Oryctolagus cuniculus: one gene and its partner. The protein of the gene in region 1 purifies or fractionates together with the protein of each later gene. This does not show direct contact. Links are inferred from orthologs where the notes say so. Each region holds a gene or a part of one and is shown on either strand. Other genes may lie near its edges. The genes, in order: PTPN2 and KPNA6.

Region 1 (3,821 bases):
TGGTATAATAAATCCTTGGTCATTTTCATTCATCTTTTCGCATTGCAGGGATTTTTTTCAGCTTGAATATAGAATTTAAAATCAAACGTTTTTAATTTAAGGGAAGCCAAATTTTCGGTGTCTGCATTGCTTTTTCTTTTTTCTTCCCTACCTAGAAACGGTGGAAAGAACTTTCTAAGGAAGATTTATCTCCTGCTTTTGATCATTCACCAAACAAAATAATGACTGAAAAATACAATGGGAACCGAATAGGTCTAGAAGAAGAAAAACCGACAGGTGACCGATGTACAGGACTTTCTTCTAAAACGCAAGACGCTCTGGAGGAGAACAGTGAGAGGTGAGATTCCCAGAGTTAGATGCTCAAAAAGATGAGGCTTTTTATTGTGAAAAGTTCACTTGATGGGAAGCAATATAGACCCTCTGTCTGTCGAATTAATATTTAGGTAGCATATGATTACATGATTGTTCTCAAAAAGCTTTCAGTTCTAGAAAAAGACTGTTTATAAACAGAAACCAGGTGAAAAAACAGTACTAATTGAATACAAAGGTTAATATGATCAGATACTAAAATATACAAGTACAGTATAGTAAATAAATGATATGAATACTTGCCACTTGTAGAGTTAAAAATAAAATTATAAAATATTTAAACTTAATTCCATTGTTAGAGGCAAAAAAGTAGTTTTCTTAAAAAATAGGTAAAATGCCATTTTATACTTTTTCATTTTAATCCATATAAATGTATAAGTTATTGCAAAAGAATTTTTTTAAGATTTATTTATTTAAAAGGCAGAGTTAGATAGAGAGATCTTCCATCTGCTGGTTCACTCCCAAAATGGCCACGATAGCCAGGCTGGGCCAGGCTGGGCCAGGCTGAAGCCAGGAGCCTGAAACTATCCTGTCTCCCATGTGGATGCAGGGGTTCGAGGACTTGAGCCATCTTCCACTGCCTTCCGAGGTACATTAGCAGGGAACTGGATCAGAAGTAGAGCAGCCAGGACTCGAACCAGCATCCACATAGATGCCAGCACTGCCAGTGGAGGCTTTAACTTGCTATGCCACAATGCTGGCCCCCAATTTTTTAAAATTAAAAAAACCTACATTTCTAGGGCTCTGATTATTTCAGGCACACATTAGGAAGCTGGTGTTCTGAGGTCTAAGTCACTTAGCAAAGTGAATGAGCTCTTTTTCTTTTTTGAATGTCTGAATAACTTTTTCTTTTTTGGGGGGGAGGAGTTAAATATACTTTTTATTGTGGGAAGTTTTATGTTGTCATACTTGTCAAGGTTGGGATTTGGGATGTACCATGAAAATAGTATGAAGGTTCCTGTACATTATAGCTGCTGCACACTGTATTTTTGTAATATCAAAATTATATACCTGAAATTTTGTGAAACCTAATATATTGCCATATATAGTAAATGTGTTGTATTTCCAGACAGCACTGCTTCTCATTTATGGCTTTTTTAAGGATTTATTTTATTTATTTGAAAGAGTTATAGAGAAAGGTAGAGAGAGATTTTGCATCTGCTGGTTCACTACCCAGATGGCTACAACAGGCCAGAGCTGAGCCAATCTGAATCCAGGAGCCAGGAGCTTCTTCTGGCTCTCCTACCTGGGTCCCAGGGCCCAAGGACTTGGGCCATGCTCCACTGCTTTTCTAGGCACATTAGCAGGGAGCTGGATTGGAAGTAGAGCAGCTGAGACTCAAACTAGCACCCATATGGGATTCTGGCGCTGCAAGCCAGGACTTTAACATGCCATGCCACAGCACCAGCCCCTCACTTATGACTTTTAGACTAAGTGAAAGCATTAAGCTGTTCCTTTTTTAGCCTTAAATTACTACTATTTTTGAAGATATATTTATTTATTTGAAAGGCAGAGTTACAGGCAGAGAAGAGAGAGAGAGAAAGAAACACCTTCCATCTACTAGTTCACTCCCCAGATGGCCAGAACAGCCAGGGTAGGCCAGACCAAAGCCAAGAGCTTCTTCCAGGTCTCCCACATGGGTGTCTGTGGCCCAAGTAATTGGGCCATCTTCTGCAGCTTTTTCCAGGCCATTAGCAGGGAGCTGGATAGGAAATAGAGCACCTAGGACTTGAGCTGGCATCCAGCACTGCAAGTGGCGGCTTAACCTGCTGTGCCACAGCTCCAGCCCCTTAAGTTAATACTTTTAAATCAGAAAATGATATTGTTTTAAATTACGTTAACTTGTTTGGTAGTAAGATTTTCAGATTCCTAGTATTAGTATCCCCTTCTCCCCCGCTTTTGATTAGTACTATGTGTAAAATTAAGTGAAAAACAAGCTTAATGACTAAATTGGTTTCCTTAGTATCTCAGAATTGTTTTAATTTTAAAAGACACACACAAACCATCTTAACAATCGCAGTGGATGAAACCATCATTGTCCAAATTTGGCAGTCCAGAAATTACTTAAAATAATTTGGGAGCTACAGAGTGATTGCAGAAAGTGTTCTTACAGTGTGTGGATGTGTGCATACATATGTTCACATGGATTGTTTTCTTCTTCTTTTTTTCTTCCCTGGGAGGTAAATGAGACCTGGTGTATGTTTGAAAGCAGAGGGAGGGTCCCAAGAGAGAAGTAAGGCTTTTCAGATGTATGCCTTTCAAGGCAGAGAGAGAAACAGAGATTTAGAATAGAGGTCTCTTATCCATTATTTCACTCTCCAAATGCCTGCAACAGTATGGCATCTGGGCCAGACCAAAACAAGGAGCTTAGAACTTCTTGACTAATCCAAGTCTTGAGCCACTTTAACCGTCACCTCCTACTGCCTCCCAGGGTATGCATTACCAGGAGGTTGGAATTGGGACCTGACCCAAGCCAAGACTTAAAACCCAAGGACTTCCGTATGGGGTGCCGGCATCCTAGGTAGCATCTTAACCACTATACTAAATGCCTGCCTTCTCCAGTGCATTTTAATACTGATGGATAGCTTTGAATAAGAGGTACTAATAGAATAAGATAAAAATTTTGTCAAAGATTTCAGCCATTAAAGGAGTAGAGGGTAATTTCTTCTCTTCATTGTCATTGAGTATCCTCCAAGACAGTGTTTGCCAAATTGAAGGTCAAATCCCATAGTCATGAGATCAGTTATTGGCTTGTAAAAAGAGTTTCTAAAGAAGAAAATAGAATAGAGTAAAATAGAAATTATTAGACTATCATAAATAGTTAACTATGAATACTCTAACCTAGTTTCTTCTGTCCATGTTGTATATAAATTCTCCATACTCAAATGCATACTGTGTATATAGGTAAATGTATGTATATGTGCGCTCCATTGGGATATAAGATATTTCTTGTAGATTGGAATCTTAGTTTGACAACCAGTGTTCTCAATCATCACATGACCCATAAAGCTGTGAGAGTAGAAGGTAGTGGGGCTATATGAAAAGTCTTACTGTGCAGTATGTTTACGTAAAGTGCACCTGCCAGGGCGAGTGTTGGCAGAAGACTGCTGAGTCTGCTGCCATAAGAAATTACATGTGATTTTCCATGGACAAGGGTCCACAGGAGGTTCTCTTTAGGTTTTGTAGCCTAAGTTGTATGAATATATGCAAAAACCTGGTTAGGTCCCCCTTGGAAGGTTATTACACAGACATAATTTCCTGAGGCGCAACTGGATAACAGAAGATTTTGTTGTATCACAAAGTGGGCATAGTCTGTCCTCTCGAATAGTGCTCTTGAACTAAATTACAGGGGAGTGTTTGGCGCAGCAGTTAAGATGCCACTTGGGACACCTTCAGTGCATGTCAGAGTGCCTGGATTTGATTCCCAGCTCTGCTTCCAATCCCACACATCC
Region 2 (3,821 bases), on another chromosome or scaffold:
ATTAGCAGGAAGCTGGATTGGAAACTGAGGCAAGACTCAATGCCAAAACTTTAAAGTGGGATGAGGGCATCCCACATAGGAGCTTAACACACTCCATCACAACAGCCACCCCCTACCTATTCATCTTTGAACTGTATGATATAGTTGGACTACTTAAGGGTAAATCCAGTCCTAATTGAGTTATGTTTTCCTTTCCCTTACTGATAAACAAAGAATGGTAAGGGAGAGAGGATAGCCCAAGGGTTGAATGACACTGGTTTACATATTTCTCTTCTAAGGAAGATTAATTGTCGTTTCTTTGGAGGACTGTGTCATATAGTAGGCAAGAGGTGTTTTTCCCACCATACACCAAATTTTTATAGAACAACTGCCACATACCACAGTTCTAGCTCCTGAGGCTATAGTAAACCATACCAAAAGTCCTAGCCCTCATGAATGGAAAGTCTTTTTTTAATCTCTTTGTCTTTCATATAAATGAATCCTTAAAGAGAAACTGAGCAGGTATTGATAAACCACCTGAACAGAAGGGAGTTTGGGTATGTTTATAATGCTTGTTAGAAGTGTCTAGAAAGAAGCGTGAGCTGATACAAGTGAATAGATGTACCAAAGCCTCTCTTCAGTTTTTATCTCCTTCCATCTCCCTCTTGTAGAGCCTAGTCCTCCAATAGATGAAGTTATCAACACTCCAGGGGTAGTGGATCGGTTTGTGGAGTTTCTGAAGAGGAATGAAAATTGTACATTACAGGTGAGGCCCCAAGGGAAAGAGTTCCCAAATAAAGCCCTTTTCCAAGAAATTGGAATGGGGTATTTCTGCAGATATATCTCTCAGGAGATAGAAAAGTCAGATGAGGAAACATTTCAAGTAAGGCATCAGTTGCCTCAGAGATCTTGACATTATAAAGATATAAAGAAGAGAACAAAATCTCTTCCTTAAAACATTCTCAATAATAACTATGTAGAGTAATGCATTTGTTAATTGGCTAGATTTTTTAAAAATATTTTTATTTATTTTCTTGATAGGTAGAGTTACAGACAGAGGGAGAGACAAAAAGAAAGGTCTTCCATCTGCTGGTTCACTGCCCAAATGACCACAACGTCTGGAACTGGGCCAATCCAAAGCCAGGAGCTTTTTCCAGGTCTCCCAAGCAGGTGCAGAGGCCCAAACCATTAGGCCATCTGCTACTGCTTTCCTAGACCATAGCAGAGAGCTGGAGAACGGAAGAGGAGCAGCAGGGACTAGAACCAGTGCCCATATGGAATGCTGGTGCTGCAGGCAGATGCTTAGTCCACTACACCACAGTGCTGGCCCCGATTGGCTAGATTTAACAATTCCGCCGTCAGTATATATATTGAGTTATGTTTTCCTTTCCCTTACTGATAAAGAATGGTAAGGGAGAGAGGATAGCCCAAGGGGTGAATGACACCGGTTCCCTTCTAAGGAAGATTAATTGTCATTTCTTTGGAGGACTGTGTCATATAGTAGGCAAGAGGTATTTTTCCTACCATACACCAAATTCTTATATGGAAGGTTATCTGTCAGTTTTTATATATGGAAGGTTATCTGTCAATTTTTTTTTGAAAACTCAAAGGAAGATAAGAATATTGCAAACACACCATTCCATTACAAATCAGAGACTCTAATCTACTTCCAAGTCTTCTCATAGGTGGCTGTGACGCTCAGGAAATAAATAAATGACATGATGGGGATCCCGGGGATGCTGTTACAGTACAAAATTTGACCACGGAAGCACCATTCCACCTTCCCGTTGTCATATCACTGCCTCTTCTCACCATTTAAAAGAAGGGAGAGGAAAAGCTTATGTGTTTTGTTGTTTTGTTTTGTTTTTCATGGGCAAGAGGCTTACTGTTCTGAGCCAGCTAGTAAACATGGCTGCACACTGTGGAATGATCTCTCAATGGTGACTTAATCTACCTTTCAGTTTGAAGCTGCCTGGGCTCTGACAAACATTGCCTCTGGAACCTCCCAGCAAACCAAAATTGTCATTGAAGCAGGGGCCGTCCCCATTTTCATAGAGCTGCTTAACTCGGACTTTGAGGATGTACAAGAACAGGTAATACTGATTTGGCTTAGTTCTTCTTTTTAAGGATTTATTTATTTATTTGAGAGGCAGAGTTATAGACAGAACTGTCTTCCATCCACTGATTCACTCCCCAAGTGGCCACGGTGGCAGAGCTGGGCCAATCAGAAGCCAGGAGCCAGAAACTTCTTCCAGGACTCCTGCATGGGTGCAGGGTCCCAAACACTTGGGCCATCTTCCACTGGTTTCCCAGGCCATTAGCAGGGAGCTAGATAGGAAGTGAAACAGCTAGGACTTAACCTGCATTCATGAGATGCTGGTGCCACAGGCAGAGACTTAACCTACAGCGCCTTCCCCTTGGCTTGATTCTTGATGGTAGCTGCAGTATAATACCAACATTTGGTTTTAGTCCCAGTCTTGACACAGTGCTCTTAAAAACATTGGAATTTTCTGAGTTACAGGAATGTCTTTTGCTATTTATAGAGCCCTTTTAGAACACATCTGAGTCTGTATTAACAAAGTGACTCAGTTTGGGGAACCTCGGTAGCCTTTCAGTGGTTGGTCACCAGAAAAATACAAACATAGAATGTGGGAACTCCTGACTGCCTCCCAAGGAAGAGGAGGGATCTGGAGATTGGGTTATAAACTATTGAAGGTGAGAGCCTCTGGGTTAATGAGCGCATTGATGTACTGGGAAGGTGACAGATAACATGGAAGCTGTACACTACCCTCCTCACTTTATACCTTGTCTAATGTGTCTCTTTCATTTGGCTGTTCCACATACAAGTAGTGTTTTCTGAGTTCTCTGTAAGAATCCCCAAATTTCTTTCTAGTCAGTTAAAAGTTTAGGTAGTCTCTGGGACTTGTGATTGGTGTCTGAAGTGGAGGCACAGGTTACGTGGGAGTGATCTGTGGGTCCTTAATCTATGGGATCTGCTTCAACCTCGGGAGTGAGGGTCACATTTAAATTAAAGTATTGAACAAGCAGTCAGTGTCTGAGAATTGGTTGTTGGTATGGGAAAAACTACACACGTGCATTACGTGTCAGAAGTAGGGCGGGAAAGACACTGCACTACCATTTCCCAAAGATTATAGCAATAAAATACAACTTGCATTTCTCTCACTGGATTCTTGGTGATTGTATAGAAGTTGCGAGTCGAAATTACTACATTTACGAGTTGGTCCAAGGCAGCTTCAAGAGTGCAATTTACTGAACTCTGTCTGAGTGGATGGGAACGGGGAGCTCTTTGGCTTCTCAGTCTGTCATACAGCTGGCAGCCGCCTTCCTCACTGAACCAGGGACTCTGAGCATAGAGGTCCTTGAAGAGCAAATGCTCAGTAAGGACTTCAGCAGGGAGGTTACCTGAGCTTGGTTCGTGTGATTTGAGCCTTGACATGGCAGCCTGATGGGGACTCACTCTGTGGTTGTCTATAAAATACTTATGGAAGCCACAGGCGCTGAGGGATTGCTTCATCACTTCCTTTTCAGGCTGTCTGGGCACTGGGAAACATAGCTGGAGACAGCTCTGTTTGCCGGGATTACGTCTTGAACTGTTCCATCCTGAATCCTTTATTAACGTGAGTAATTACAGTCATTTTGTACCTGGGGCACCTGTAGGACGGCCATGTGGCAGGTCATTTGGGGATAGCTTACTTGATCCCTTAAGATGACAAATACAAAGTCTAAAAGTACTTTCCAATTGCTGAAGTAAAAACTAGGTATCTTTTTGAGTAAGAAAGATTGCATCTCAGATCTGTGCCAAGGGGAACCTTGTTCTTCAT

What was found.
Region 2: the proteins of PTPN2 (region 1) and KPNA6 purify together in Homo sapiens (affinity purification with mass spectrometry; 3 studies listed by BioGRID and IntAct, with this or other methods). This does not show direct contact. The link is inferred for Oryctolagus cuniculus from reciprocal best matches to the Homo sapiens genes PTPN2 and KPNA6.

Annotation. Positions count from the first base shown.
Region 1 is NC_091441.1:69,652,894-69,656,714, reverse strand, and holds part of PTPN2 (tyrosine-protein phosphatase non-receptor type 2), read left to right. Parts: intron 1-155; coding exon 156-337; intron 338-3,821. UniProt on the Homo sapiens protein: Non-receptor type tyrosine-specific phosphatase that dephosphorylates receptor protein tyrosine kinases including INSR, EGFR, CSF1R, PDGFR.
Region 2 is NC_091438.1:140,292,802-140,296,622, reverse strand, and holds part of KPNA6 (importin subunit alpha-7), read left to right. Parts: intron 1-650; coding exon 651-745; intron 746-1,940; coding exon 1,941-2,072; intron 2,073-3,528; coding exon 3,529-3,617; intron 3,618-3,821. UniProt on the Homo sapiens protein: Functions in nuclear protein import as an adapter protein for nuclear receptor KPNB1. Binds specifically and directly to substrates containing either a simple or bipartite NLS motif.